4 linked regions of the Drosophila melanogaster genome follow. The protein of the gene in region 2 interacts with the protein of the main gene of each other region in a pairwise test. Each region holds a gene or a part of one and is shown on either strand. Other genes may lie near its edges. The genes, in order: yin, Pect, Mlc-c and ND-13A.

Region 1 (8,083 bases), on a different chromosome or scaffold from region 2:
AGCTCGGGTAAATGCATTTGCGTAGCCCCATCCGCAAACTGGGTCACTATCGATTTTACTCTCTTTTCACAAAGGTACATTGGCTGCGAAAGTTGCTGAAAAGTGTCGCGTTACAAATATGTACATAGATTGGTGGTATTTATCAAAGCTTAGCTAACAATTTTAGCTCCTCGATTATTCAACTGCTATAAATACGGTTTTAATTACGGGTTTCATGTAAAAAATTGAATACAATAAAAATGGCATAGCAAAATATTTCCCATGGTGTTTAGCCTTGATAGACTTTAATTGCTTAGCAAATATTTCAGTTGGATTAGTAAATGATTTAAGGGTATTTATTGGTCGACGCTACCACGGAAACAAGGCCTATTCGATTCTTGTTTTGATTCTGACACACGACGATTAATTCAATCAATTTGCGGGCAATAAAAGGATCTCGATTTGCTCTCGCTTTTGGTTGACACACATTTATCGATCGCGTGGGGCGTTCAAGGTCAGCTGCGCTGCCGCTGTGATCAATAGCCTTGGGCGCAGAAGAAAGCGAAGCAAGTGGCGAAGAGAGTGGAAAGAAGAAAAGTCATTGGAACTTTGTGCGCTTCTTTTTCTCGAACAACCACTGCACACGTTCAGTTGGGCAAGTGTGTATATGTGCCTTTGTGTGCACTGTACTTTCTCAATTGACAACTAAATGTGATAAGTAGCTGTTCATCGTGCTCTCCGCTTTTCGCACCGAAAGAAAATCCATGGTTGCAACACTCCCTTTCATGGCAATGCAAGAATTGGGAAAATGGAAGGAATGAGATCTGCTATCCTTGCCAACTTCTTTACACTCTCTCCTCTTATCATTGCACCCTTTACTCAGCATTTCGCTTGATGTTCATACATACATATGTGGGGCCACTTACCGCAATTTGAGAATCGGACTCCTCTTTTTGTCCGTTTTTACCGTTTTGTCCGTTTTTACCGTTAGTTATTTCACTTGCCATTTTGGCATTGGCTCGCCTTGGCCTCCTCTTGGCTACCTCTTAATTGCGCTTTAATGAGCTCGAACAAGAGTCACCTAATCGCGCTGGGCACTTTGGAATTTTGTCGAAGTGCCCCGAAAATCGAGAAACGGAAAACACACGCACACGTTTTGACACAAAAGGTTTTTGCACTGATTTGCGTTGCCAAAAAAAGTTGTACAGAAGTGGACTACAATAAAAAAGACACTGATGAAAGGGGGTTGTGGGGGAGGTGATCAACAGGTTGACGCCATAAAACGATCGCCGTCGCTGGCCGACAATAAATGATGCTCCGTCCATTTGCAAGCTGCGCTTTTAAGCTTGACTCTCAGTCGGCGGCTACGTCGGCAGCGCAGTCGCGACACCGAAAACCAAAAAAAAGAAATAATACACAATTCGAGCAAGAACAAAAATCAAATTAAATTTTTAGATAAACAGGTGGATGGGGTGGTTGGTAGGGGGGGGGGGCGTGGTGGAGAGAGGCTGTACGAGAGCGAGAGCAAGATAAACTCTGCTCTCGCTTCAAGCTGTTCTCTCTACACTAAAAAAAAAGCGTGTGTAATCTACAAAACATAACATTCAATATGTGAACCTATTTAGCCAGAGCGACAGCATCAAACAGTTTAAATAAAAAGCGAAGTATAATGCCAACAGAAGTTAGCCACATATTTCTTTCCGTGTAGCTCGCTCTGCAGAGATCATTGCAGCTGCAGCGGCGATCTCTTATTATTACTGTGGGGGTGTTCCCACCGCCCTCTCTTTCGCGCAAAGCTGCGGCAGTCAAGTTCAATGCTGTTGGAATGACGACTTGCTGAATTAGTGGACACCCCGCCCACCGACGGGCACTATCGCTGGGAGTCCACTAATCGGGCGTGGAGCAGCTGTATTCCTTCTAATTTGTGCGAGCAGTGTTTCCTGTTGTTTCAGAAGGCTTGTGGAATGTGCATCCCTATCGTGCACCCACAGTATTCCAGCTTGTAGCCATTGTTGTGGCAACTGTTTGTCGTTTGGCGTTCTTAAAGAGAGAATATAGTTCTAGAAACCCATATCCTATTTGCGATTTAACGTTATCTTGTGTTATCTGCGCTGAATCTTGTGGTTATCCCCTCGCTTTTCTTTAAGCTGTGCCAATGAGCTGGCAGGTACGGAATCGATCTTATCTCGATCATATTCCTATCCCCTATCTGGCGATTAAACCCCCGGCCGTGCAAAATGGTCGAGTGCCAAGTGCCTGTTATCTATGTTTGTTTTCTTTACGGCTTTGAGTAATTTGTTGGACTTTCCCAGGCAGCCATAAATCTATCCAGCTGTAAATATTTATGGTCCGCATTAGCTATTGTTTCGCGTCGAGATTGCTTAGGTTTTTCACGAAAACGCCGCGCTATACCACAAGATTGCACAGTTCCGGAAATATATAGATACATGTGCCTGAAAGGTTGTCAATTTCGCACTATATTTTAGTCCAGCACTCAGACTCACCGTTTCGAAACCGTTGCGGTCATCTTCGGCGAAGTGGATGTGCTGGAATCGATCATCCCTATCACGAAAGCGGGCAAAGTGCCAAGCTGCAGAAAGTCCATATATATGTGGGTGGTCTTTGGAAAACTGGTGATGCACTTACCGCGACTGAATTCAGAGCTGCTCATCAGGTGACTGGATTCGAAGCTCGAGCTGGATATGGATGTGGCTGTGCTAGAGAATTCGGGATTCCGCTGTCTATGAAGCATGCTTGAGCTGTAGCCTGGATATCTGACAGCTAAGGCAACGGACAATTACCCTAAGTATAACAAATTATTTATTTAGATTATAAATAATTATGGGGGATCTTTATAGTATTATAATATAATATTTAATATAATTGTAATTTTGAAATTGACATGACGTCTTTATATCTTTCATGTACAAATCTAATCAGTTGGGCAAACACTTCATCGCCTATCATCATTGATATCGGACTCCGGACCTTCGAGATCTTGAGATCTATAAGTACCCATATCTGAAGATCGGAGCCCCTTGAAGCACTGCCCTAAGAAACGAGTACGATTGGCTATCTGACTATCTGGCTATCTTAGGCAAGGACATCGTCTATATCTCGCTTTCGCTTCGCCTTTTCAGGCCGATTACTTAATCGGCACAAAGTGCGATTCGGTAAGCCGCGTGCCGAGTTGTGCGATTGGCCCACCTATTAGGTAGGTTGGTAGGTGCGATTTAATCGAAGATACCCTATCGCCGCTTGACCACCAGTTTGCTAATTGATAAGGTCTTAACTGTAATCCCCAGGCTGAGCGAAGAGTTTCTCGCCCAGATACAACGCCATCACAATCCATGGATACGGGATGCATAATAGCTGGCCGGGGATACGAGTACTCGATGTCTGAGTGTGTCAACACGCAACCCGCTCAATCGACACACAGACCCCCAATGCCTTGATGGCTTTAATTAAGTGTTACTCAATCGATCGCATAGCTGGCATTATGAAGACTAGACACCATGCAATCTGTAGCCAAGTAAGTGACAATCGTAAAATCGAAAGCAAGAAGCAAAACAAAAAGTTCACTTGTCGCACAGTCAGGGCCTCTCGTTGAGCAATAATGGTTAACAATAACAATAACAATAACAATGTCGTGCTACGGACTATCGCAGATCGGCCGATTGGCTATGGCCAATAGATGTATTATACTTGTTTCTGGGCATGGCATTAATGATAGGCGGCCATAAATACTATTCGCAGCTATCGACGCAGCGATTAAGTTCATAAAACAAAAATGCCACAAAGTTTTGTGACCACCTCCGATTAGATGCCTATCAAAAGCGGTGAGCCAAACGGGGTTAGATGGTATAGGTTACATTATGGATTTCCTATTTAAGGCGTCGCAGTAAAGTATCCTCAAATTTTCTCATTTCTTCATAAGGGGTTACATAATGAAGATCAGCGAAAATCTACAAATTTCGAAAGTTTCCGGCCTTGAATGCCTATGGATTAGAAATTTCATTACGAGTTCAACGAGATATTGTATTTCAAATAAGGCCAACTATTTCCCATGTTGTTTTTAAAGTACTGTTCTTAAGGTGGCGGAAATCTGAATTATAACTTTTGACAAAAATTCGACATTTAAAAGTGATCTTTTCGCTATAATTTGGTAGTTCGTGCCCAGTTTAGGGTGTTTTCTTTTTAATATTAAAAATAATTGTTGTATTTATTAACCTATCCACCGTTTGAATGACTTATACTTATGACTAATCTGATATGAAGTACGTACGTCTTTTGAAATGCCTGTTTATTTCGCAAAAACTTATTACCGATGTGATAACTTTATCGGCCATAAAACTACTTAATAGATTTGTAATAGTTTATTTTCCTATTACTATCATTTTAAGGAGCTTAAATTAATTTATTGTATTGCTGCCAAAATACTGCCAATCATTTCGGTCTTAAGTTATGTACATACGTATGAACTTTGTTTGCCCACGGAAAAGCGTTGAAAAAGAAAGTCATGTAGCTTGTTAATATGCAAGTCATTAGTATTAAACACTGGACGCGTTGCTCTAAAAATTGTTTGGGTACTTTCTTAAAAATTAAATGGCTGATTAGTTACTTTTCGACCAATATCAGCAAGACATTTGGCTATTTAATAATGATTAATTGCCCGATTAACACACAGTTCAAGCCATTGAAGATTCTGACTCGATCTCCTTACCCTACAAATTTCCTTGGCCATCATTATCTCTTCTATTTTGGCGTTGATTTTTTTTTATCAGCGTATAGACGTAGTAGCTCTTTAAATAATTATCTTTAGACCATATACTAAACTACTTTTCGATTCATGACTTACGGTGGGTAAAGTTGGGAAGCTCCCATCCCTCAGACGTGCAAGTAATGGCCAGAGATAACCGTTTGGTGCGATGAAAATATTTAGTTAATGATGGTGCGCAATCTGCATCGCCCACTATACACAACACAGCAACCACCCACCCACTGACTGATGACAGACGGGGCGTGGCAGGTGTGATAAGCGGAGCAATTGTGATGGACAGCGATCTGTAAATTGACAGGCGGCCAAGGGCGGGGAAGGGTGAAATGTCAAGCAGATATTCCGGTGGGTAGTTGTGGGCCATAAATAACAATCGCGAGAGCTGCGAGCTGCGGCTCCATTCATTGTGGGTAAGCGAACACCGGGCCGTAAATACTTCCACTTGCCTGTCGATACGATAACATTGCGATTAGGCTTATCACCACTACTCGCTCGTTCTAACGCCTTTCGCCATCCTTCGACGTCGAGCAAGCGCGCAGTCGCAGCGGGCAGAGCAGTGCGGCAAAGCGACAAAGCGGCGAGCGGCGAAACCGTCAACGGCTTCTTAGCTAAGTTCGTTCACAGTCGACTTCAGTCTGAGGCTGTTGATCGCCGCTTGCGGACGTGGTCGCTCAATCCTGCTCGATTCATAACCGATTCAAAACCGATCCCATCCGAAACGACGTGCGTTCCAATTTTTTTTTTTTTGCAGTTGTTAAATGTTTTAATGTGAGTTACGAGTGCGCGAATGCAATGGAACAATAAAAGCAATAACGATCCGAAAGCTTCGCCAGAGACAATAAAAGCAATATCAAAACACTGATGTCTATATTATGAAAAGATCTTACGAAACAATAAAATCCTTTTAAAGGCCAATGCAGCAAAATAGGATAAAGTTACCAGAGAAAGAGCTTCCTTTTTTTATACAGTTTGAAAATCAATTTGCAACACAGAAAATCAATTAAAACTATTAATAATCTGAATGAGATATATTTGCGATATTGTTGGTTTAATTAATTATTTCGCAGTGGCAATTGGAAATTTCCCTTAAATATAGCCAATTTGTGGGCTTATTGAACTCCAGACGAGGATCAGTACTTTTTTGCTTTTATTGTCTCTTTTGTCTCTTATTGGAAAAAAATAAACAAAATTTACACGTAATATACATATATGTGCATATATTTTTCGTTAAATTAAAAGAAAGTTGAGTTTATGCATCTTATACATATGCACATTCCTACAACGTAATGATTTTTAAAGTAAATTTAATATTTTTCTTCGATTTCAAGTGACGCGTAACGGATGTGAAGCGATCTCCGGGTTCCCAACATGACGGATAAAAAAAATGGTATTGTTAATTACTAAAAATAACCACAGATGCATAATTATAGTTTTTACAGAGGGGTGGCGATTATACAGACTACTGAACCGAGATTTATGGCCCATATTTTTGTGAGGCTCGAGTTTTACTCATTGTTTCGATTTCTAGACATGCTATATAAGCCACACAAAATACACCTCACCATAGATTGCAATAGTGTTCTTATTTAGTTTATTGCACCTATTTACTTCGATACTCCTCACCCTTCAGTTTTAATCAGTGGCCGTTGGGTAACGTGCAAGTTATAAGAATTGGCGGAATACATCTCCACTTGCCAGTTATGACTCAACGGACGAACGATTTTCAGAACTCCAGGTTCGCAACTACGATAATCGGTTCTCTTGGCCGCGTGTGCAGTTTGCAAATCTAATCGCTCTGATAAGGGACTTTGAGTGACTGGCCCCGGGTTTTAGCCACTTGAGCGGCTCCAACACAAGCAACGAGCAGGTCCAAATGTGGATTTACTTTCGACGGTCCCCAAAAAAGAGCTGCCAAACTTGGTCAATTGGCACGGACCAACCTTGCCTATATACTTGCCTATTCAAATCTCAAAAAATAAATAACTCGACTTGCCTACACCGATGCAAATTTTCCAATTTGTACAACTGTGTGCGCCTGCATTTCAATGTCAGACGCCGGCTTCATTTGCATATTCGTAGGCAAACTGCCAATGCGGGTGTTTAAAACAAATGCGGCTAAAATTGCGATTACGATTTCGTTTGGTATACCAAACACACACACACACACACCACTTGCTGACAAATCGCTGGGAGAGCCTGTAGTAAATGCAACCGCTTGCAATTAGTGAGTGAGTAGTTCGCCTGGAATTTGCCATTTCGTATTTGGTTGCTCCATGCGGAGCAGAACCCGGTCGAATTGGATGGGGCGGTGCCGATATGGGGTCGTAATTGCCGCTTCGAACGGAACAAGACAATCAAAGTTTTGCTCACTACCGAAAACATCGAACTTATCTATCTGACAACTTCCATTGAATAATTCTGTTTCTTTGCCGCCGTAAAAAGCAATTGTAATTAAAACTGGGCCAAAGCGCCAGCTCCTGCGGCGCTTATCATTTCGCTGGACCAATAAACATCGCGCTCGTTCTAATCGCTTGTAAATCAGTTGGAATGCTTTTAGACCCTCTTCATGGCGATTATGTATGTTATTGGGTAGGTGTGAAATTTACAACCTATTTGATGGCCAATCGATGAACAAACCGACGATTATGCGATATCAATGCCGATATGCAATGTCATTAAAGAATCACTCACTACTATATATAGCCAATCCAATTATGTTCATCCGTTCTCGAATTCCAGAAGAATTTCTCTGCATATCACAGTTAGCGATAGTTCAACGCACATCCTAACCACCTATCAATCAATCAATCAATCAATCAATCTATAGGTCCCAGGGCTCTTAGAGCTTAAGTAAAGAAATCTTGAGAAAGTGAAATTGAGAACACTTTCACAGCACTTTCCCTCCGAAACTTTACAACTGCACTCAGGGCATACCAGGCTTATCTAATTATTTATAGGTAAAGCCCTCAGTGTACTCATTTTTCAATTAGCTTGTTGAAAATTACGGAGTATCAGCGACTCCGATTGGTCTACGGCTTTTATGGAGCCCAATCGAGTGGATTGAGTGGAGATCCGTCTGGAGATCAATTTTCCGTCCTTCGGTGACACTTGGCCAGTTCCCTGGCACTAAACACTACGCTATTAGCGGCTGCAAAATGAATGAATGAATGAGTGGTTTTGAGTGTGAATGTGAGTGGCAGGCCTGGTCTACCAACTTCAAACGGCCACCGAAGCGGGTCAATGCTGTACACGTCTGGTACTTGTATATTTTGTATATCTCTGTTTCCCTGCGATAAGGCGCTTTATGTTAATGGATGTTTGATGTGA
Region 2 (10,955 bases):
ATTCGGGGGCGAGGCATTGCTTGTAGCCTTAATAATATAAATTGATGGCTTCGTCTCACGCGCCTGGCGCAAGCGTTGCTGCATGCTCTCCAGCAGCTTGGATTGGGCAGGTGCGGCAGCCTCGAAGATCTTAGTAAAAGCCGCCTCAACGGACTGAACCCGACCCTTCTCAGACTCATTGTCTATCTGATGTTTCTGATAGCCGTCGCCATCAATGATGGATCTATGACGTTGCGGCTCCTGTCCTTTGAGCGATGGACGCCTCTCTACATCCTTTAAGGACTTGGAACTGGCTATAAAGTCGGTGGTTTTGGGTGACCTCTTCGTAGAGCATTCTTCCTCTTCCGCAAAATAAGAGTTGTACAAGTGATTCAGTTTTCGCTTATGCTCTGCAGGCATTTGAGAGTTGAAATGGACATCCGCATCCCCCGCCATCCTTGAAACGGATTCTGATGTCTGAGGCGGGGAGGGTTCTTCTTTATCGGTGCTAAGCTCACTACTTGTGGTCAACGGTATCTTCTTGTCCTTATCCTGCTGCCTATCTCGCTCCCTTTCGCGCCGCTTGCCACGCACATCACTACGCATCCTGTCCAGTTGCTGTTGTGGTCTCACCCGCAGCGATCGGCGAGGGATAGTGCTGTTGGCTAGTTCCCTCATTGCGGTAGCCACGGCATTTGCTGTTGACAGTTCGGTGAGACCCAGATAGTTGCAGAATTCCTGTTGCTCATTCGGATACTTAACGTAAGGCCCCTGATTCCCTTCCATTTGCATCTCTGTAATTTAAATTAACCAATTAAATTTGCAATAAAATACAAATAAAAAGTCTTACGTTGGGGAGCCTGTGGCAGTTCCTCGTAGTGATACATCTGTGGTTGTTGGTTCATCTTTTGCTCCATAAACTGCTGTTGCTGTTGCATTGTTTGCACCTGCTGACGCATAACATCTAATACAGCTTTGGTTAGTTGTTGGTCTTCTGATGGCCCACGGTCGCTTAAGTTCGCCTGCATAAAATCAGTAAGTCCTGCCGGAGCAGTTGGACAAGGTTGAGCATGGGATAAGGATGCGTCTAAATTCGCAGCGGATGAACCCGCCGTTTGAGTAAGCGCGCTTCTCTCCAAGTCTGCTGTAGATGTTTCCTTGGTAAGGTTCCGCTGCTCGAAATTCGGTGAATCCGTGTTCTTTATGTCATCAACAACTGGCAGCACTATCTCTTCTTCCTCCGGCTGTTGATTATCCTGTAGCTCCTCTTCGGGTATCAATGTGGTGACAGAGGCTTTTTCCATGCCGACCACCTCGTAGCAATCGTCGTCATCATCATCTAGCACAATTGTCTCCTCGGTGGGCAGAATGTGCAAATAGCGACGATACACCGGCCGTTCCGCCGACTGAGAGCTGGCAAGCTCTTGAGTGGATTCGTCTGAGGTTTGCATGATTTCACGGCTGATCTTCTCCATATTCCGGACCAGTGCTTCACGGAATTCGGCAAAGTTAAGCTGTTTGAGTGATGCGGTAACAGCCTCATATTGCTTGAAGGCAGCTTCAAAGCCTTCCACATCCTCGACATCGGCCCACTCTTCCCTGGGTGCCGTTTCCCAGTTGGAGACTTTCTCGGCGGGACTCATCTGCGGCTGAGCCTGACAAATGCTTGCCAGTCTTCGATCCATAGCCTCTCCATGGAGCGTATTCTTCATCAGCGGCGGATACTTTCGCTTCAGTGGAGCCACTTTGGATGGAGAGCGGCCGCCCGTTAACTCATCCTCATAGTCGTAGTGGTCACTGGCGTTGGGCATGGAGGATGAGCTGACGGGAAATTCCGTGGGACTGCTGTGTTCGCGAAGCAACTTTCTTTGCGGATTATTTGGCAGCGGCTCCTGTCCCTCGAATGCTACAATGTCGATAGGCTGGGCTGGTTCTTCCTGGATGACTGCGTCCTCGCATTCTTCATCGTCGTGGTCCTCCAGTTCGTGATCATACACCTGACAAATATCTGGGCGTTCCTCCTCCATCGGTGTATCGTCTAAGAATGTGGCGTTTTCGTTTTCCTCCGGAGCCTCGTCGTCGACCAGATCCTGGTGCACTAAAGGCTGTTCTAGCGCTGCATCACTAAGGTACACATTGTTTCCAGCCGCCAATCGTGCCTCGGCCACACCCATATCCTCCACGACCTCCTCGATGTAGGCAGTCCCATTGAGACACTCATTCGCATCACTCTCCTCGGACAGCAAGCCCAGCAATGCACCGGTACCGTTTCCGGCCATCATGATGGCCCTGGCGAACTCCTGCTCGCATGCCACTCCCTGGGTAGCTACTATGATCTCACAGCAGTGTTCTTCTCCTAAAACGACCATGTTCTCTCCATCCACAGCCTCATAGATCACACACTGCTCCCCTTCTTCGGCCACCTGAAGTTCATGTTCAGCCTCATCATTCTCGTGGGACAGCATTTCGAACTGGTCAACATTGCCATTTGTCAGCAGCATGCCGGGGCTTAGTGCAATGCCCGGATCCTGGACAGATTCGGGTGAGTCTAAAAAACAAGAAAAGTATGCGATTGAGTGAGTTTACCATATTAGATATTTCATATTTTCAATTGGGATAAATGTTCATAATCAATTAAATGGAAGAGATTTCCTTGTATAGTTAATGGAACAGATTAACAAACCGTTGATCTCGATGACCTCGTGGCTGCTGTACGAACGTTTTGCCGGTGTGCAGGTGGCCCATACTGGGGCTTGGTGTGTCTCTTCGGTCATCATCATTTGCCGGCGAAGTCCGAATATTAAGGGTTCATTCTGAGGGACGAAACTGGAAGACGGCTGCTCCTCCGGCCAGCCCTTGAAGCCGCTGCCACTCGAGATAAAGCTGTGGGTGTCCGAGTCGTCGGAGATCACGTGCAGGTTGCTGTCCACGGCGGGGTCCAGATCTGCTCCCGTCCTCGAGGATCTGGTGACAGATGCAACAAGATCCGTGGGATACTCCCGATCCTCAGCCACGTCCGATGCGTCGCCTGGAGCTTCGCTGGCCGTATCTATCTCGTCGCCTTCCAGCGGCGAGTACCGGTTCAGTAGGTGTTCCTCCGCCGCTACGTAGGCCATCAGGCTGGCTTCTCTTCTGGACATCGCGTTGGTACGGGGAATGGGATTGGGATTATCTAGCCCTCGTCGACTCGTTTAGTAATTGTGGTAGGATTTCTTGTAAATTTAGCACGTGAAATTTAAAAAATATACTTGATGCTGTCTACAAAACAATGCCCGAACTGACTGTGGACGATCATGATTACATTATCATGGCTTGGTCGGTTTCCTTCGATTGTTATTTTTCGTATATCTGCGTGCTGTGCGTTGTATATTTCTTATTTGATAGGCTTAATATTTTAAGTTGCTTTATCCTGTGTGACCGTGGGAAACACCGTAGTATTATCTCACATCGCCATGGCCAATATGCCTCTTAAAATACCATCGGTATTATTTTTACAGTGGGATCAATCAATAAAATATACCTTTAAAATGAAAAAAAAAATTTTAATTGTGAATGTTATTAGTAGTGTTCGTTGTTTAATTCTATGACACTTTTTTTTTAATAATTGTTGTGACAATATTTACATTTATTTATAAACAAAACACTTTGTTATATCCTAAAATATTATACATTTCATTGGGGTGATCGACTCATAAGGATTTAATAGAGTTAATACCCTTTTAACGTATAATAATACAGATTTGTACTTGCTTAATATAAAAGTTCTAGCTTAGTAACATAAAATTTGCCAATTTAAAGTTATTCCCAATATATCTCGATCAGCTGTTGATGTTTACAAAATCCGCGTTAGCTGGTATTCATCGCACCAGGCATATGGTATATTTGGACAAACACCGATGCGGCCACTCTGCTCTCACGGTACTCGAAATTGTGAGAAAAGAAATGAAAGAATCTAAAAAAAAACCCAAGCTAAACACACCGCACTTACGCCCCAAAGAAGTTCCCATGCGCCCGCGCGCTGATAACGCAAGTCTGAGAATCTGAGACCAATTCCGCTCCGAGTCTGAACGTGAATCCGAGTCCGAAACCGATAACGAAAACTGAACTGAGTAGCTCGGTCGTGAAATGGGAATTGATATATAGCGGGCGTCGTCGTAGCTCAGAACAAATAACTTACAGCTCTCGAAGCGTGAACGTCGCTGTCGTCGAGTTTCCGCCTTCAAAACGAGCACTGAAAACAGAAACATACTCTCCGGAATCTAATGTTCGCCCGTTAGCCGGATTCTAAATTAAAATTAAATTAAATTGTGAAAATTCAATAAGTCAACGATGGAGGCAAATGGCGATACCAGCGCCTGCAATGGGTATTCGGACAAGCAGCGGAAGGATGTGCGCGTCTGGTGCGATGGATGGTGAGTCATCTACATTACATTTAGGGGCCTCCAGGAATTCGGTCCACAATGTCTAACGGTTCTTAGGGCAGCCCATTGCGTCACGTCGTTACTCACCGCTAACGGTAAAGTGAGTCAAAGCATAACCATTCCGCGTCGGTGCCATCGATTCCATGCCACACCACGGCCAACCGAACCCTACTATTTCAATTCCAATTTGGTTTCCAATACCAATAACCGTAATCAGTCGACGATAAACTAAACCCCATTTTTAGGCGTGCTAAGAAGCGTCCAGGGTTCCTCAATTGATTAGCAAATCTTTGTGAAACGGTGCCGTCTCGCTGCCCGTTCCAAATATCCACCCATTGCCGTCGTCCGGCTGAAATGTCTACATAATTCAGGTTCAAGGTCTCTCGGATCCGAAATGTCCATATTCTCCACGCTTGACCGGGACATTTGGCATTATATTTATATTTATACGCTATGCAATCTATTTATAATTGTACGCTTACAGTGGCTATTCTAAAACAGATTACTCAGAGAAAATGTTTAATTTGCCTTTTCCGGCGATACTCGCACTCTTTATGGCGCTTAAGCTAACAACAATACATATATCCCAAATTAGTTTGCACAATAATTAATTGCTATATGTGATAAACCGGGTGTTCGGTTCATCTAATGCATCTATGTATTTTAGATCCGCATATAGATACTATTGACGCACTTTGCCTTGTTTTGGGCACCATCAAATGGTTCTATAGGCATTGCGTTCCCCCATATATATATATATATATAATTATTTGATTCCGTGCAATGCATCATCAGAAACCGGTTTATCTTTATCGGTAATGACGCGTTAGACTGCGATATGGACGGATGGATAGATGGCCTACCATAACAAGTTTGCTTCATTGGGGGACGATAGAAATTTCCTCAATTGTGGCTACCGCCAGTCGGTAAAAATAAAAATATACCCATTGTTTATATGCGCCCTCGCTCTTTCTCTTATTTCCTTGTATTTCTACTCACCGTATAAACAATGGCACACGCCCAACAAGCAAATGTACATACATATATGTGCCATATACATGTGCTCTGGCTAACCCACTGTATCTGAACAGCCTGCCTTTCCTTCCGCTCTTCTGTTTTTGAGGCTTCAGATTTTCGGATGAGGGCTGCGTTTACGTGGCCCTTGTTGACTGTGGCTGCCCGCCGGTCGTCCGTCCGCAAACATCACGTGATTCTGGCATGCGCATGCCCTCCGCCTCGGCGATGGACCCCACACCCCTTTTGCACCACCATCATTGCCATTGCCTCGCCATTGACCCACAATGCTGTCGTCATCGTCTGGCGGTCTTTTGTGTGCCCAATTTAATTGGCATTTCGCTGGGCCTCTCCTGTACTGACTAAATAATCGCAAGGGATCGTCTTTATTTTAAAAGGGTTTTTTAAACCATATCCATTTATTATTAAGAGGTGGTTCAATCTTATAGTATACTTCTGCCTAAGCAAAAACATACATATGGCAAAACTTTTAGAATCCAATTGCGAATGCCCTGAAGCAAGATTAGAAAATGTCACCTAATTTATGGATTTAAACCTAAAACATATACATCATGCTCATTGGCATTTCCGGGTAATTTTGGCAGTCTATGCTCCCTTATGTCCATTGTCAACGGGTCACAGCTCCCTGTCACCAGTGTGGAAGTCCTCTAGCTGCGACAGATAAGAACGACCTACGTAGTCGTGCTCCAATCGCTGAAATTCCACATCAGCTGCTCATGGGCACGAACAACAAGTATAAACATAATATTTGCGTGGAATCTGATGGAATCTGATAACCCATCAGATGGGGAAAGCACGTATGTATGTGGGGCACTTGGACCCAAAAATCATTCTAATCAGCAGAGATTGATCATTGACGCAGGCACAAGTGCTTGGCTTGTCTCCTCCTTTCCACCCAAGTCAATGAACCTCTGCCAGTGGAAATAACAAATGAATGGGAAGCTCTCGTAATAAGAGAGTCCGGGGCCTTAAGGCGGGGCATATATGTACATGTGTGCTGTAGTATAAGATCTATGTATATGGCATACTTTACCCCACCAAGTCAATCCACTTTACTAGGCTCTGGGGTCCGGACGACAGAGCACAAATTCTACGGAGAATCGCGTGATATTTTTTAATCAGCAAACGGGCGTCGGCGTTGCTGTCGCTGGTGTTGTCGCTGCTTTTAGCTCACTCAATTGATTAAGCGGCCCCTGGGTCTGTTCTACATATAGAGTACAACAATGCTAATATGGGTATAGTATGTTCGGCACAGATTTCTTGGTGCGCTGCAAAAAAATCTCCGGGAGCAAAGGTTTCGCTTCGATTAATGAATGGCCCACGTTTTTACTAGCTGCTTTTTATGGTGGTGGTCATCTCTCCGCATTTGTTACTATCTGGGCAAGTCAAGGGACTAGCTGGCATAATCCATCTTTTATTTTTAGGCGTGCATGCAGGGGCATTGCATTTCATTTAAATTTCATTTCAGTTAAAGATCCAGTTTGTTTTGAGTACAACTATTTTCTTGGGAATTCTCTAATCTTCAATGGAAGCAGTACTTAAAATACTTTCCGTCTATCTATTTCAAATGAACTCCTCACAATCGATTACCGAAGAAACCGTCGATGGTGACGGTATTATTTCTTATCACCCGCCATTTAGTTAAGTGGTTACCTTTTGCATGTTATGTTAAAAAATGTTTGCACAAAGCCCGCTGGGTGAATCATTTTCCAAAAGAGCAGGTTTCAATATGAATTATTTTATAAATACTTACAATTACAATGTACCTATGGTGGAAAAAATAAATACCTTCATAATTGGTGTTAAGTGCAATTTGTGCAACGCCTCACGTCCCCCGGATGCTATTATCGCTTTCCCAAGCCAAACAAAAACCAGGCCAGGGCACGTGTGCCTATAACCATAATGCCTAGAATCGGCGGAGAATGTAAACAAGCTGAATGGCGATGTTTGCGTATATGTGGCCACTGAAAAGCTGACGCAGCAGCGTTCATAATTGCAATTAGAATTGCAAAACAACGAGCAGCAAATGCGGTTTTATTGATATCCCCTGTCCCGGTTGCTTCATCCATCTCTCTCTCGGCATTTTTGGCATACCCACTCTGATGATCGAGTCCAAAGATCAATCTCTTGACCAATGCTGGGCAAAAGTGGAGCACACAAACCGCCTCTATAGTCACCGGTGGTCAGTCCGTCAGCTACTGGTCATTAAAAGCACTCGACCAGACATCTTTGACGCGCTTCGACAGCGGTTTATGTAAACTATGTAAATGGCTTGCTCGAACCACTTTATTACTTTATCGTCTGGGGGTCATTAGCAGTACTGCTTCGACCTAGCTTCCACCATTAACTAAATGACCAGGATTCCAGCTGAGCGTCAAGACAAGTGGTTTTTTTTTGTTGGGCCTAAGGTTCATTATACGTATGTATGTATGCACATTCCATGCGATAATTGTTTTTTTTTTTTTTTTTTTTTTTTGGCAAGTCTCGAAGTTAAACACGGCTTATCTTGCGAGCTTGAAAAATTGCTAATTTTATGAAATATATGCCATTTTCTGAGTCATATTGGTAGAGGCAAGATCGTTTCCATTAGCTATTTGTCAAGGTCTCGCGGCAATCGTTGCAGTCTTAGTTATCTTAGAATTTATTAAACTTCCACGAATGGCAGACAACATTTCCGGAGGTAACTAATAAGGTCATGTTTGCTTGTTCACTGGCACGCGCTTGATAAAAAAAAAAAAAAACAATGTATCTATTCTTGTACTGACATATCTATCCTCCTTCCATCCTCAACAGCTATGATATGGTACACTTCGGACATGCCAATTCTCTGCGACAAGCCAAGGCTCTTGGCGATAAGGTAATTGTGGGCATTCACACCGACGAGGAGATCACCAAGCACAAGGGACCACCGGTCTTCACCGAGGAGGAGCGCGTCAAGATGGTCAAGGGCATCAAATGGGTGGATGAGGTGGTGCTCGGTGCTCCGTATGTGACCACACTGGATGTGCTCGACCAGAACAACTGTGATTTCTGTGTGCATGGAGGTGGGTAACAAATTTATGCATATATCTGGATGTTACTCAATCGAGTGTATTTGTTTGCAGATGACATTACAATGACAGCCGAAGGAGTGGACACATATCATTTGGTCAAATCAGCCAATCGCTACAAGTGAGTTTGAAAAGATATATTTTTAAGACATGTGGCAGTTTATTAAAAAGGGAATGCACACACACTTACCTTATGTACATCTTGCCTTAACCTTTAATAAGCTGCCAGTTGTCTTGTAAAGCACGTACTGCACATTTTTCCAATTACTGACCTTAAATTTTCTTATGCAATCCGCAGGGAAGTGAAACGCACAGCTGGAGTCTCGACCACTGACCTTGTGGGCCGCATGTTGCTCCTGACACGCAACCACTTCCGTCAAGGATCCGCGGAATATGATATCGAGAAAGAAGGTAGCTTTAGCTTGTTCCAACGCTTTTCTGGCACATTTTATTTTCATTTTAATGTTCCTAAATCACAGCGAGCACTGTGAATTTGTGCGCCAAATTCATTGTTTCTAACCATTACTAACTTTAATTTTAAGACTACTTTTTGTTTGCACTCTTTTTGTCTTTCATTTCCTGCTGTCGAACTTGTTTATTGCTCTTGCATGCTGTGCATAAATCAAAGTCGATCAATCAGTTACAAGTATGAACAATATTATACAGATATATTCAGTTTATACATGGGCTACGCACGATTAGTTTATGCATTTTCCCCAATAGATTCTTTTTAATTTGCCATAGTTGAACGCAAATAACGCCTTGGTTTATGGTTGCCCTCTACAACTTTACTATTTCTCTTCTTTTTATTTCTATGTACGCACTGTTAACCACTATCAAAAATATAATATAATGTATGAAACCTATGAAAACTATGCTAAATGTTTTGTGCGTGTGCGCGCCCGCGAAATGAATCCAAATGCCGAATGCCCAATGACCAACCTGCAATCAAAATATCCAAATCCGAATCCAAATCGAAATCAAATCCTAAACGTAAATTTTTGCTCTTAAATACACACTTTTGCTCATTTGTCTGCGTTGCTTTACAATACAAAACAAACAAAAAAAGTGTCAATTTTAAAACGACAAATAAAATCCCATCCAGGTTCTTCGAACATGGGTCAAGATTCGGCAGCCAAAAGTCCGTGGACCGGTTGTAGTCAGTTCTTGCCGACTACCCAAAAGATCATACAGTTCAGTGATGGAAAGTCACCGAATCCCGGCGATAAGATTGTAAGTTTAGCCCTCATTATATGTATATAATGTATAATTCATAATTGTCGGTATTTGCAGGTTTATGTGGCTGGCGCCTTCGATCTCTTCCATGTGGGTCACCTGGACTTTCTGGAAAAGGCTAAGAAACTGGGTGACTATCTGATTGTTGGCCTGCACACAGATCCCGTGGTGAACTCCTACAAGGGCAGCAACTATCCCATTATGAATCTGCACGAGCGCGTGCTCAGTGTTTTGGCCTGCAAGGTAGGATTGCAATAGATTCTTTTTTTTAAATATTATCTCATTTTAAAACTTCTTTTTTCCCCCAGTTTGTCAATGAGGTAGTAATCGGAGCTCCCTACTGTGTCACTGAAGAGCTGCTTGAGCACTTCAAAATCGATGTTGTCTGTCATGGACGCACACCCATTGCGCTTGAGAATGGCAAGATCGATCCATATGCCGTTCCCAAGACGCGAGCCATCTTTGAGCTGATCGATTCCGGCAACGAGATGACCACGGAGCGCATCGTGGAGCGCATCATCTCGCACCGACTGGAATATGAGCGTCGCAATCAGGCCAAAGAAAAGAAGGAAATCGAAGCCTTTGAGGCACTTCAACGCCAAAAACAGACCCAAAAGGCCGGCTAGCCGGAACCAGATTCCGACCTCTCACACTAGACGGATGTTTTTTATTTTCTAGTTGCGTTCTTTTAGTTTGTTTTATTTAGTTTGTCTTGTTTAGTATGTCGTCCCCTGATGATGGCGCTTTAATTTTTTGTTGCGTAAAAAGCGAAGCGACGCTGCCTGAGGATTCAGCGCACCGCTCTCTCGATTTCTAGTACAATTTTAGAATATCTGCACATGCGCCTTAATGATATAAGGTTATACACATAATTATATATTTCTAACACATTAACGTAGAATATTTAAAATCTAAATTTTATGTATGTAAGCTCAAAATTTGTAAATTCCCTTTAAAGTACGATGTAAGTGTGAGGAACAACAAAATTGTACGAATAGCATGTTATCCAAACTGTTGCCGAATTGAAAAGCCTTGTACGACTTGTATGTATATATATTCAGCAACGGAAGTAGGATGCCTGGATCAGGAAGTAGCTGCTTTTATCAAATGTAATCTCTGATACTTTGTCCTAATTTATTAATGCATATAGTAAGTGCGAGTTCAAGTTTTATGTTTCCTTGTTTAATCTTAGACTTAAATACATGGCCAAAAATATTGCGAATTCCAAAAAAAA
Region 3 (6,731 bases), on a different chromosome or scaffold from region 2:
CCTCCACCTCCTCCACGCAGCGGCGCACCACGAAGGGTATCTGGTGGTGGGGCTCCAGCTGCACCATCGTGGTCAGATCCGTGCCAAATACGCCGCGTATGCGCTTCAGATCCGGCACACACTTGGGCGGCACCAGTTCGGAGCACTTGCTGTGCGCCACAAAGCCGCACGCCTCACACTTGACGCCCTGGGCGGTGAATCCCCACAAGAAGTTGGCGCAGAACTCGCACCAATTGAGCCCCTTAAACGTGTGCACCTGTTTGGATCAGAATCTTCCATTAGATGCTATGATCCTTTATAGTTGGCTTCTTATGTCTGAACACACACCTTGAAGTGATGCGGCTTCTCGTAGACCAGCGGCATGGGATCCACGGCTGGAGGCGGTGGCTCCTCCTGCTTCTGCTCCTTCTCCTCGGCTGGCGATTCCTTCGATTCCTTGGCGGCGGCCTTGCCCAGCTCATTGGACAGAGCCCTAAGTTTCCGGCCATTTAAGGTCATGTATGGGCTTTGCTGGTAGCAGTTCTTGGTCTGCTGGTTAATCTGCTGGATGATGGGACTGGCGTGGAGCTGCATGTGAAAGTTGATCAGCCCGTCGGCGACCATGTCGTGCACCGTGTCGAAGCGCTTGTCCTGGCCGCGCAGATAGTGTCCCACGCCGGGCTTATAGAGGAGCTTGTAGTGCTTGGGTCGCTTGTTGAAGCGCAGGCTAAGCGTGTAGTAGCCATCGGATTGGGGGCTCCGGCGTACAAAGTAGCTGCCGTCGCGGGCATTGGCCAGCAGCTGCTCCGCCTCCAGGTGGCCCATCAGGCCATGGTACTCGGAGCCGTATAGCCTGCCCGCCAAGTTATTGGCCTCCACGGCCTCAGCCGTGCTTTTCGCCGGCGGAAGGGGCAGTGTTCGCTGGCAGCGCAGTGGACATGGAGCCGGTGCCTCCAGCTGCAGTTTGTACACTGTGCGTGGGCGGGTAAATGGGTAAGGGGATGGTTAGTCATATCATAAGCTTGTGGGTGGCATACGAGGTGCTTCTCCACTCACATTCCGGCTTCCAAACCTTCTGAACCGGAGAACTGGGCTCGGGGGCACCGCCTACTCCGCCGGATCCACCGGTATTCGCATTTCCGGCGCCCGCCTCCGTGTTCCGGGGCATCCTCCCTCGGATTAGCAGGCCACTTGGTCAAAAGCCACTAAGTAGGCGGCGAATAATTAAGGAATGCAGCCAATTAAGTAAAGTATACAAATAATTTTGTCCGAGCGAGCAGAGCTGCCAGACTGGCGAAAATTAGCGCGGTATTAAAGTCGGAAGAATACTAAATTTAAATGACTATAACTTTAGATAAACTTTATAGTAAGCTTATTGAATTTATTGATAGCTAAACTACATTATATTGTTTTGTAAATACTGTAGTATGCAGTGGTTCTCACTTAATAATCAGTTTAAAAATGTCCGAAAGCTCAGAGCACAAGAGCTCGCAAAAAATACCACAAACAATTTGCTTAATTTCAGTTAAGTTTCCTAAATATTTCAAAAATTTGCATCAGTCGTAATTTTAAGCAGCCATTTATTTGATTGCCATCCGCTTTCAACAAGAAATAAAAACAAGAGCTAAGGTTTCAATTGGTTTAATAGTTTAAGTACGTTTCTTTTGTAAAAAGACCTACACATTCATTGGATCTCATTTCATTATTTATTAAATACAAATATTAAATTATTTAAAAAAAAATAAACATGTAAAACTTCAAAATGCGCATTTAAATACGGACACACGCCACCGACGCATATCAGCTTTAATTTAGAAATACTTTTTCGTGATACTCTGGCTTTCCTTCCTTCCATTGAAGTATACTATGGTAATTCATATATATATATATATAAATGTATCGAGTGTGATTGGTACAAAAGAACGACTGCACTAGTTGATAATTACTGATTAACCTTCTAGTGTCAATTTTAGAATAATACGCACATTCACAGACGCGGTAATTAGTTATGGTTAATCATGAATCTATGTCTACATCGTTGGTTAATTTTGGAAGTGGGAATAGCTCCAATCTCGTAGTTTTAGTTTTTAGTTTTCAGTTATTAGCTGCTTGTGTTAAGCACTTTCCCCTGTATTTGTTATATCTCGATATCCTTGGTCGTTGTCCTTGGTTTTGAATGCTTTAATGCCGGGGTAAGAATGGCTAAGTTGGAATCACGGAGTTGGAACTTCTGGCGGAATGAACGGCTCATCTATGTGTAGCTTGGCAGGTGTGTTTAGTGTTGGTGTGTTGTATTGTGTTGGATATAGCGTTGCTTCTATTGTCGTGTCGCTGGACAGTTGAACAGCTAGAATCGGTCTGATCCTAACCGCTCATGACCATGCGCACGAACTCCTCGTAGTTGATGTTGCCCTGCTGGTCCTCCATGTTGGCCAGCAGCTGCTCGACCTCCTCGTCGGTGAGCTTCTCGCCCAGCGTGGTCAGCAGGTGGCGCAGCTCGGCGGAGGAGATATAACCGCTGGCGTCCTTGTCGAAGTGACGCAGTCCTTCGATGAAATCATCAGCCGTATCGCCCGAGCGGGCCTTGGAGATCGCCTGATAGATGGGCAGGAACACCTCGAACGAGATGCGCTCGTCGGGCTTCAGCTGGTGGGTGCACTTCTTGACATCCGACTCGGTGGGGTTCTGGCCCAGGGCCCTCAGACACTCGCCCACCTGGCTCAGCTGAATTTTGCCATCTCCGCGGTTGTCGAACAGGTTGAAGGCCTCCTGGAATTCTGCGAATGGAAAGTGCGTGCTGATTGTTGGCAGATGCTTTACAAATCTTAATTATTATCGTTACAACTTACAAGAACCCTTCGATAAGGGATATAATATATAATACCTACATAACTACTACATATAAACGTATGGAAATGTGAGGGGGAACTATAGCTTTCTACCACCCACTAAATGGCTAAATGGATCACCTTCCAGTGTGGTAAAGGTTTGCTTCACATGCGCCGTATAGTAATACATATTGAACCACTCCGATGACCGTTTTGCCAGCTACTGACTGCCTGAAACTCCGCCTGCCCGGATTTGGCTGGCCATCGGATCGAAGCGGATCGGATCGGCTCCGATGCAAGCCACCACTCCGCCTTCCTTGGCCATGGTATACCCTCACGTCGCTGGCAAACTTCGTTTCTCTACCGGGAACTGCCTGCTTGCAAGTAAGATAAACAACCCAGAAATCCTAAGTTTCAAAGTTTTTCGTTTCGAGGCGTGACATCGCAAGTCCATTTCGCGTGCAGTTGGATTTAAGCAAGTGATGGTGTAAGTTAACCAAGCTGCAAAAGTTCTGCGATCTACGTGCGTAAATAGAACATTGTGGTTGGGCTCAATATTTTGTTTTCAGATCCTCTAAAGATCTGAGCACTAGAGTGTTCACCATTCGATGAATTGCTGGGATGTGTTCGGTTATCATGCGAATACGAGATCCAAAAATGGCAATAAAAACAAACGAATCCAGCACATTTTTGTCCATTTTAGGCAATGACAAAACGTCGACGGCTGGCTAAAGATTGCAACAAGGTAAGTTGGAATTGGAAAATAAATATATGGTATATGGCTCGTACATAGGCATATGCGGTTGAACGCTGACGTCAGAGTGTCACGAATCCAGCATGACGGAATTATCAGAGACCATTGACTTTGATTAGGTTAAACGAGGGGATTGCGTAAAGATTCGATTCGATTTGATTCGCCATGGAATCGAAATCGTGTTGCATTTTTACTTAGAGAGAAGGTGATGTTCCGTAAATGGAAGCTGGTTTTTTTTTTTTTTGTCAACTGACTGGCTTCTTATCGCATGGCTATTCGGTTTTTGCAACTGCAATTGCAGTTTTATTTGAAACGAGCAGCCGGCGAGTCAGAAAACCGGGTGATTATCCCATTAGACCGCTCTGTTATCTATATTTTATCGCTCACTTCCTTTCGCTTAAACAGTGTTTTTTTTTTTTTTTTGTACTCATACCGAGGTGTTGGTTATGATTATAAGCGACCAGTTTCTGTCTTACAATAACTGCTCTTATGATGACCTACAAACTTGGTTTACACTAGCTTAAGACTAGCACTAGCTTGTTGGCAGAAACTAACTAGCTGATGGTCGAATAAGTTTGTTGCCTGCTATGCATATTATCAATTAACTTGGTGTGGGTTTCGGATAACCGAAAGAACTCGGATTTATCAAGAGATATTAATGCGAAACTTGGTACACAGCCGTGTGTCGCTATTCTATGAAGCTATTCCTTGGACGAACATAATCTGCTGATCAAAGCCCAAAAGTAGCACAGTTTCGATATGTGTTGTCAGCTTGATCTCGGATGTCTTTCGAAGTCATCACGTCAAACTTTGCCTACAGCTGCTCTTAATTAAAGCATTTTGGACAGGGTATTGCAGTGTTTCGGTTTTGGGACTTTCTCGCCGCTTTTTAGGTGAGTCACGATCGTATTCGTATGGCTGCCGTCTGCCTTCCAGCGTATTTGCTTTATCAATGATTCATGCACACCACACAAATGTACGTGCCATCGCTTTCCCGCATTCCAATGCTGTGTGGGAGTGGGAGGGAGAGGGCGCTAGGTGCCAGCGCACATATCAATACTATACACATATATATATCTGTATATATATATATATGCGATTTGCCCGACTTTTGACTCCTGGTACTTGACCCCGTCTGGTCCTCGTGCGATTCAACTCACCAGCCAACTGATCCTCGGTATAAGCTGCCTGCGGGGAGAGAGAGAGGGGAAAGAAAGGAAAACAATGAAGGAAACTTGAGTGCTGGCTTCCAAAGGCGCCGGAAAGCGCACTTCCAGTGCGATCGTAAACAGTAAACAGCGCCGCAATAAACAGCCTGCACTCACCATATCGATTTGTTTTTAGCTATCTGAGGGAAAACAACACAAAATACACGAAATATTGAATATTGAATTCGACGTCGAAACAAAACGCAAGCAAATTCTGAAACGTTGTTGGTGTTAGTGGTCGCCGATAGTGGGCGCAATCGATAGGCCACTCGAAATTCGATAGGTGCGACAACATCGATGAGTGCAGGGAGTTTAGTGAAATCGAGCAGTGCTGCCAGATCGTTTCACAAGAAACCGCCACACGTGCCGCCGATTTGTTTTGATTTTGGATGCATTGGATCCTGGCCAAATTAGTTAGTCCCCGATGAGCACACAGAAGGTGGAGTACGACGCTGCGTTGGGCGGCCGGGTCACACTGCCGTCGCACGTGACCACGTACCATTATGCGGCCGAGGCGCTGCAGGAGATTCGCAATTTGGTGGCCGACTGCCAGGAGACGACGCAGCGGAGCAGCAAGCTAATCTTCCAGACGCTGCCCAAGCACATGCGCCGCCGCGCCATGTCGCACCATCCCAAGCGACTGCCGCGCAAGTACCGACAGGCGCACAAGTCCCAAATGGGCAAAAGCGGCAACCAGCCGGTGAATGGGAAACGACCATCGAGGAAGTACCGCCGGAGACCCAAGAATCTGATGCGTGAGTACGTGCGCCGGCAGAGGCGGCACGTCTGGCTGGAGACGCACATCTGGCACGCGAAGCGATTCCACATGGTTGACCGCTGGGGCCACCGGTTGCCCTACGCCAGCTGCGACAAGACCTACCGCGCTTGCTATCGCGCCAGCGCCGAGCACTGCCTGCTGCAGGACATCTCGTTCTATGGTTGCGTGGAGTTGCGGGGACCCTTGGACATGCTACGCGAGGGATTCGCCCGGCTAACAAGTCCGCAGTGTGGCCTTGGGATCACGGCCCGGACTTTTCTGAGCGGACGACGTGAGGGCAGCGTGGAGTTATTTGAGGATGGCCGCTATCCGTATGGAGCCCTGCAGCGGGCCAGTTTTATGTGGCGGCCACGGCGGGAGGAGGAGGATGAGAAACAGACGAATCACACGCTCTGGCTGTGGCTACATCCCAGTGGCGCTCAAGCTGTTCTAAATCAGCTTATAAGCGTGTTCCAGCTGAAATCCACAAGGCAACAAAAGCTGCCTTTAAACGAGGCTGTGACTGAGGAAAAGATGGATGTGGATAAGATTGAGCCAGTCGAGTTGTCCAAGGAAACATCGCCTGGCAAGAAAAACTCGAAGAAGAAGCCTGAACAGAGGCCCCTGCGCTTCTGGACAAAAACGAAAGCATTCGATCCACAGCCTAGCTACTTCAATTCCGACGGCACTCTCCACTTGGTACTGCTGCAGCGGGAGTTTAATCGTTTCCGTTTGACAGGGCCTAGAGCCCAAAAAGTTCTTTTTGCCAGCTTACGTCCGCATCGAGAAGAGGAGCTCCAGGATAAAGCCAACTACTGTCAGGCAGCCTTGCAGCTGAGCTCGCCCGCCGAACTGCTGTCCAATCTGGTGATGGCCCACCTTGTAGTGGATCCGCGCCTGCAGCGGCCCAAGAAGCGTACGAAAGCAGTCGGCAAAATGGAACAGCCACCATTATCCGCCGGCGATCTTCTCATGAATCAGCCAAAGAGTCTGCCGGAGAGTCCTCTGTGGAGCAAGAAGGCGAGAGAGCGGCTGGCCAAAGGCATTATGTCCGCGCACAAGTACGACCAGCTGCGAGAACAACATGCCGTTGTGCCAGGAGCTCCATGTGCCTTCGAACAGCAAATGCAGGCGCTTCCCGTGATACTTATTCAAAGACCAGGATCTCAGGACCCCAGATACAAGAGATTGGGCTACGGCTGCGG
Region 4 (6,496 bases), 8.1 Mb from region 2:
TTGAGGAAGAGCGCCCGCTGCTCTCCGTGGAAACGGAGGCTGCGTATTGATGCACCCGAGGGTTGGAAGTCCAAATTCCCCTTCTCATCCCCGTTCTTTTTCCAATCTTTCGCTCTCCGACTCTCTTCAAGCAGCTCTTCCGTTTCCGCTTCCAACAAGGATGAGTTCCGGAAGCCGCAATGGTTCGAGGAGGCCGAGACCGATGACGAACTCTTCGACGACGATCGCAAGTTCGCCTTCCAGGTCTTCACCAGTCCGCTGGAGATGCAGAAGCACTTCGAGAGCCAATTGCAACGACTCCTGGAATCTCTGAACGACAAGGATGGTAAGTGGGGTAAACCAAAGTATTTTTATTCCCTTTTCGGGTTGTAAATTACAGTCCTAAAATTGACACATGCATTGCCCCTTTTTAAAGTTAATGATAGCATTAGCAATTCAAGCCATTAGTCGAAGAAAATCGATCTATATTAACAAATTATACTTGCTCGGTTCACTTGTTATTTGCTAAATGACACAAAACCAATAAGTAATTGCAGTAACCTGCATACACAACGTCTGAAAATATATGTACTTTCTTAGCTATAATTATTATATATTATTTCTATGTATTTATTTACTATATTTGACCTATGCAGATGGCTTTGAGCGCGACTTGAAGGAGGACTTCTTGAAGCCGGGCTTTGAGAGCAAGATTCTGAAGAAGTTTGAGCAGCAGAAGGATTTCTCTTTGGATACCGATTTGGATGGCGAGTAAGTAAACATACTAAATCAGCAAACGTGTTCACACTAAAGCATTCATTTCTTTTAGGATCTATGCCGACCAGCTGCACTCGCTCATCCAGCGTCTGAATCCGGGGGAGAATGTTGAGTCAGGCGACCAGGTGATTGGCAACATTTTGCCATCGAATCAGCATGGCTATCGCAAGGGCGTTCAGCGCGCCAAGCTTACGGATGAGGAGATCATCATGGGCCGGATTCATGGTACCATCTCCGCCGATGGGGAGAGCCAGTCGTATGCTCGTCCGCCGCGTCCGCCTAGGAACAACAAGCCGGACATCATGACGCCCATGACTCCGATGTTGCCGCGTAGTGGAATGTCTCCATTCGGAGGCGTATTCGACGGCAACTATCAGGTGGGAAAGATCTCATTCCCCCCTATAATAAACAGTCATTATATAAACTTTTCTGATAGGGTCCCAAGCTATTCAGCCAGAGCGTGATGACCAAGACTGTTCGCAAGCCGGATGGCAGCTATGAGACCACCAAGGTTACTCAGGATTCGTCTGGTCACAAGACCACCACCGTAACCCGGATGAAAGACGGGCGTAAAGAGACCATTGTCACCCACGATGACGGAGCTCCAACAGTTGGTATGGGTGGAAAGCAGCTGCAGCAGAAGGAGGAGGATTTGGCCGTAGCTCGTGGCGAACGCAACATATTCGTGACAAAAGAAGGCTACGCCATGCCACGGAACCTCTGGTGACCAGTGGTGAACAACTATTGCCCCAATCAAGATAAGCGATCTCTGCTGCAGCAACAGAAACAACAGCAACAGTACGAAGATAGGCTAAAGCGATTCGTCGGCAACATAGTCCCGCATCCACACAACATCCAAATTAGAACCTACTACATTTTAGTTTACATTCTCCTTAGTGTTTGGTGTTTTAGATGAAACGCACTTGAGACAACAGATGATGACGACGATGATTATTGACCATGATTTTATTGAACAGCGATCATTGATCCGCTGGGCATATATATTATGTGAGACTGGCGCACCACCCGGCGGCGCCGCACTTTCAGTTCCCAGATCCAGGGCACTCTGCAGGCCAAGCTCGAACTCCCGACGGTTGGAGATGGAATTGGTATCGGAGATGGCTCGTGTTGAGCGGTGTGAACGTATGATTCATTTCGGTTTTGTGAGCAGCAGGAGCAGGCCACACAGGAGCAGGAATGGTGGGTAGACTTTCGAGTCGTCCGCTCCAATTCTTCCCGCAGAGCGCTGGCTGGCATCCAAAGCAAAAAGCAACCAACAAACAATCGCCTAAGCGGCGGCAGTTATTGTATTATTGTATTGTTTTTTCGTGGTACTATCTGTGTCTCAATGCTGCGATCGTCAGCATCTAAAGTGCCCGTAGTGATTTAACAGCGAAAAATGATAAATTGAAACCACTATACAATACATTACCGCTTTACCAGGCAACAAACAAAGCAAGTTTATATACTATTTACTATTTACGATTGCGTTAACTTTGTTAGTTTTACTCAACATTTTATACACTTAAAACACAAAACACCCGCGCGGTGAATTGATCTGGCTTCTGCCCAAGCAGTCCCGAGTTCAACTCACAGTATTTTGAATTACAATTCGGTTTTTGTTTATTAGTTTTACTAAACTTTAAAGCTTAAGTTGATTTTGATCAGATTTAACTTTCTAAGAGGACACAATGCATGCACGCATTAGTAATCATTCAAGACACATGCAAATAAAGTGTTGTGCAATAAAAAAAGAGTTGACTTTCATTTCGGGAAAAGATTGCTTTTAGCTGATTTATCCATTGGGATAGAGTAATAATTATGGTACTCCTTCATATGATTAGCTTTTTGGTGTTCTAATTTTATTTAGTTTAGTTTAGTTCAAGCTAGCGCAACAGGATAGAAAGGTGTTTTAGCTAAAATCTATTGGCCACTATGGTTTCCTCAATGATGATGGTCATCTTTCTTGACGAAGCGCAGGCCGCAGTAGCCGCAGATGTGATTTCCGGGTTTGTCCTGCAAACAAAACATGATCCAATTAGTCAAGTGTATGCCTCTAATAGCCGCTCAAGACCTCACCAGGTTGATGTACACTTTGGGATGACCCAAAGGACCATCGCCGCCGTCGCAGAAGACAACTCGTTCGGTGCACTCCTTGGGTGGCACCTCCTCGATGAGCTTGATGCCCCAGTTCTCGTTCACATACCGCTTGGCGTTCACGAACCGGGCATTGCGGTAGTCCTCCTTATCGAACACCTGAAATATGTATTAATTTAGATATTTTCGTACATATTCCACAAAATGTTTGCGTAATCGCAGGATGATCGGGTCAACAGTTCCAATTTCTCTTACTTGTCCGGTGTGTGTAACCTTCTCGATGTCGCCGCGGCAGCTGGAGTGGCGAACGCTGGCCAGTGGGGACATCCAATTCTGTCGCGGAAGGCCGAGTTTGGACAAATTGTTTACCAATTGCTTGCTGGCCATTTTTTACCACAAAAATTTGTACGCAAAATGTATTCTGACACGAAACACCCTGTAACTGTCAGGCTGACAGCGTCAGCTGGCCTAACAGCAAGCTAACGGCGCAGATGTTAGTTTACATTTACCGATCAGCGGTCACACTGGTTATTTAAAAATAGCTTACTTATTTGACAGTTTCTTCAAAACAATTGGTCTATAATAAATTAAGAATAAATTAATAAAATTTTAGGGAATACTATTTATTAATTCAGTGAAATAATATTTAATATAGGTTGTTTGAGTTTTGTTACTCTCTTAACCGGTTTTTTGTAATTCAGAAGATGTTATAAATTGTACAAGTATTCTGTCAAAGTAGTGGCTCCATTTTAACAATTAACTTGATTTCAAAAAAAGCTAGCGTACAGACAAATAGTGCACTTACTTTTTTAGATTAAGTTTTTTAGGAGGCATAAATTTCTTTTTTTTACCTATTCTCTTTAGAATGCCAAAGTTTTTGCGCTACTTGATCGTTGTTGTTTAGAAAAAAGGGATGTAAACAAAAGACGAAGAAAGAGAAATGTTTTCCCTTGCGGCACGATTCACAAAAAGAAAAGCCGGCAAGAAATGCCGAGAGCCAAATGTTCGTTCGCATTTCCCGAAGCAGCCAGCATTTCGAAAATTTTCGAAATTTCCCCAAAGATCGGGGATGTGCCTCCTGGCGCTTGGGGAGGCAATTCAGTTAGTGTTTCGTGCTCGTCGAGTGTTGTTCTCGGTTCTTCCTCTACAACATCTAAAGTTTTTCATTGAAAAGTCTTCTTTCCGGCCATCCATGCATATATACACGCCTCTATATATACGCATATATAGAAATTGAAATTGGAATTGTTCGCGCTAAGAATACTGGCGTAAAATCAAAGCGAATTTACGGTGTGTAATGTTACAAATTAATTGCTGTGCCTGTGTACATTAGTACATCCCATTGAAAAAGCTTCGAAAAATACACAAATTTCCACGGATTACATAATCGGCAGTGAAGTGCTCGTTGGAGAAAAAAAACGTGTTTTTCCACGTTTTCCGGTGCGAGAGAAATGGAACGCAAAGAATATGGAATGTGTACTCCGGAATAATAGTGAACCATAATCGCCATAGAATGGATATAAAAGTGGGATACATCCCACCAAGCGGATGGCAATTAAAAGTGGTCCCAGAATAAAGTGAAGCATGCGAGGCTGCATCTTTTTTGCTCTCGCCATGGTTTCCTTCGATCCGAGCGAGCCGAAAGTTTAACGAACTGAGTTCATTTCTATTTTTGAATAATTCGAAAGCAACCGACAACCGCCGCCGCAAACGCAAAGTGAAAAGTCTGCATGAGTTTTCCCTCATCGCGGTGGTGCGATCGGGATTCTTGAATTGGGGGACGTGTGCTTTTTAAGTGTTGCCGATGGTGGACGACTGATCCACACCACACACCACCCAAAACGCCTACACTGTGCAGTTTTTGGTTTTCGTTTTGGAGAATCCATAAAGGCACTGAAATATTGAAAGCAGATGACAAACAAAATGTGCAAAAATGTTGGAAAATTTTCGGGAAAAAATTGACAGTAGTGATGACAGCAGATGAGCATTGAATTGCATTTTAGTTGCAAATTTTTATCTATTATTTCCAATATTTCATATGATTGCAGAATAGAACAGAAGTTAAATCTACTAATTTGACACAATTGACTTGTCAGACAATTATTTCAATTTTCCGCTCTGTACAGAATGTATTTCAAACTTAGCTAATTTCACTTTCCAATGCGAAATCAATGTTTTGAGACATTTTTCCAAGGTTTTCACACACTCTGCCAGGCATATATCATAGACTTATGAGGCCTTCAAACAATTTTGACAGCAGCTAATCCCCCAAAAATGCCCACTTTTCTGCTCTCCTTGCTCACTTTCGATCTTTAGCATAATGTAAATATGTATTGCTGAGTTTTGAACTATATATGTTTTCACTAATATATGTGACAACTAAATAAAATAAATGATTGCGCGCGTAAAAAACACTCCTTGGCGACTTGAAAGCCGCATATACTCACGTCAGTTCCATTTTTAAAGATTGTATAAATGTTTGGACCACTTCCGTTAGGATTCATATCTATATCTATGTATCTATATCCTATATCTGCGTAGTCTGGCGAAATTAGCTGACTACCCGTTTTCGTGAATAGGTCATGATTTATTTGTGTTTCTTTAGCTTATTTCAGTGACATAATTGGGTTGGATGTTCAGGTGATTGTTTTGGCTAATGAACAAATGATGATTTATGATTTTGGACAGCTACGTTGGGTAGTAAAAAATAGGTCAGCAGATTCTTTGTTAACTGTTACGTGGTTTGCAGTTCTTTATTACAAAATGCTTCTCTAAGAAAACCAAACTCTGCAAGTGTAGGACATTTAAAGCTTTAAACAAACTTAATGTGCAAAAGACAAATTTCCCATAATTTAATAAATTTATTTTAATATTAAATTCTATAGTAATATGTGTTAAATTCTTCCTTTGCCAGTGTAATATGTTAAATTAAATCCCATAGTCCCGTCCAAAAGTCTTTGTGAAACCATAGCCACACCGCTTGTAAAATCGAAATAAGCCCAAACCGAAAGATCTCGATCGTCTGACCCGTTTTGCTGCGAAAATGTCCGGGCAGCAACCGCCGCCGTACGGGAATGGACCACGTGGCTGGAATCCGCGTGCCCACAATCCCGCCTCGCCATCGCCCTCGTCCTTTCTGTACCGTCCACCATCGCCGTGGACAACGGCGCCCAGTCCGCCGCCGATAATCTCGGGACCCCGTCCCTACGGACACGCCATGTCGCCGGCGCCCATCAACCAGGTGAGGGGTCAGCGCGGCAGCACCAATATACCCCATCCGCGTCCCCAGTGGCCAGGTGGTAACCAATCACCGGCGCCATACCAGCAGCCAGCACCAGGTGCTGGTGGTGCATACTACGGCGGAATGGCGTCCAGTGGTGGCGCATCGCCGGCACCGCGTCCCTATCGGCCGGCTCCCCTGCAGCACCAGAACTCGTATGGCGCCCAGCCGACTAGCTCCTTCCAGCTGTCGCCGACGCCATCGCCCATCGTTTGCCAAACTCCAAGTTCGGACTTCAACTACAGCAATCGACAGACGCCACTGTCGCACCACCAGTACCAACAGCAACCACCGCAATTCTATCAGCAGCAGGGAGCGCCAGTGATCCCGCCGCAACCGAGACAACACGGAGGACAAGGAGGA

Evidence for each region.
Region 1: the proteins of Pect (region 2) and yin interact in a two-hybrid assay, tested with the Drosophila melanogaster proteins (one large-scale study listed by BioGRID).
Region 3: the proteins of Pect (region 2) and Mlc-c interact in a two-hybrid assay, tested with the Drosophila melanogaster proteins (one large-scale study listed by BioGRID).
Region 4: the proteins of Pect (region 2) and ND-13A interact in a two-hybrid assay, tested with the Drosophila melanogaster proteins (one large-scale study listed by BioGRID).

What each region holds. Positions count from the first base shown.
Region 1 is NC_004354.4:3,867,034-3,875,116, forward strand, and holds the start of yin (yin), read right to left. Parts: upstream 4,907-8,083; 5' UTR 4,838-4,906; intron 3,512-4,837; exon of another isoform or gene 3,285-3,511; intron 3,194-3,284; exon of another isoform or gene 2,920-3,193; intron 2,786-2,919; exon of another isoform or gene 2,782-2,785; 5' UTR 2,732-2,781; coding exon 2,626-2,731; exon of another isoform or gene 2,570-2,625; coding exon 2,484-2,569; exon of another isoform or gene 2,466-2,483; intron 2,147-2,465; exon of another isoform or gene 1,940-2,146; intron 1,299-1,939; exon of another isoform or gene 987-1,298; coding exon of another isoform or gene 906-986; intron 1-905. UniProt on the Drosophila melanogaster protein: Important role in absorption of dietary peptides. High-affinity transporter of alanylalanine. Dipeptide transport activity is proton dependent.
Region 2 is NT_033779.5:13,199,882-13,210,836, forward strand, and holds Pect (phosphoethanolamine cytidylyltransferase), read left to right. Parts: upstream 1-3,880; 5' UTR 3,881-4,308; coding exon 4,309-4,391; intron 4,392-8,228; coding exon 8,229-8,479; intron 8,480-8,539; coding exon 8,540-8,606; intron 8,607-8,783; coding exon 8,784-8,896; intron 8,897-9,554; coding exon 9,555-9,718; intron 9,719-9,778; coding exon 9,779-9,964; intron 9,965-10,029; coding exon 10,030-10,347; 3' UTR 10,348-10,947; downstream 10,948-10,955. Other genes in the region: CG16972 (uncharacterized protein), read right to left, coding at 1-773, 830-2,527, 2,663-3,119.
Region 3 is NC_004354.4:5,617,531-5,624,261, forward strand, and holds Mlc-c (myosin light chain cytoplasmic), read right to left. Parts: upstream 3,046-6,731; 5' UTR 2,998-3,045; coding exon 2,949-2,997; intron 2,757-2,948; coding exon 2,344-2,756; 3' UTR 1,606-2,343; downstream 1-1,605. Other genes in the region: RhoGAP5A (Rho GTPase activating protein at 5A), read right to left, coding at 1-256, 328-950, 1,036-1,147; POP1 ribonuclease P/MRP subunit, read left to right, coding at 5,194-6,731.
Region 4 is NT_033779.5:5,096,902-5,103,397, forward strand, and holds ND-13A (NADH dehydrogenase (ubiquinone) 13 kDa A subunit), read right to left. Parts: upstream 3,302-6,496; 5' UTR 3,241-3,301; coding exon 3,109-3,240; intron 3,013-3,108; coding exon 2,836-3,012; intron 2,773-2,835; coding exon 2,701-2,772; 3' UTR 2,276-2,700; downstream 1-2,275. Other genes in the region: CG4230 (uncharacterized protein), read left to right, coding at 132-334, 636-750, 809-1,133, 1,193-1,483.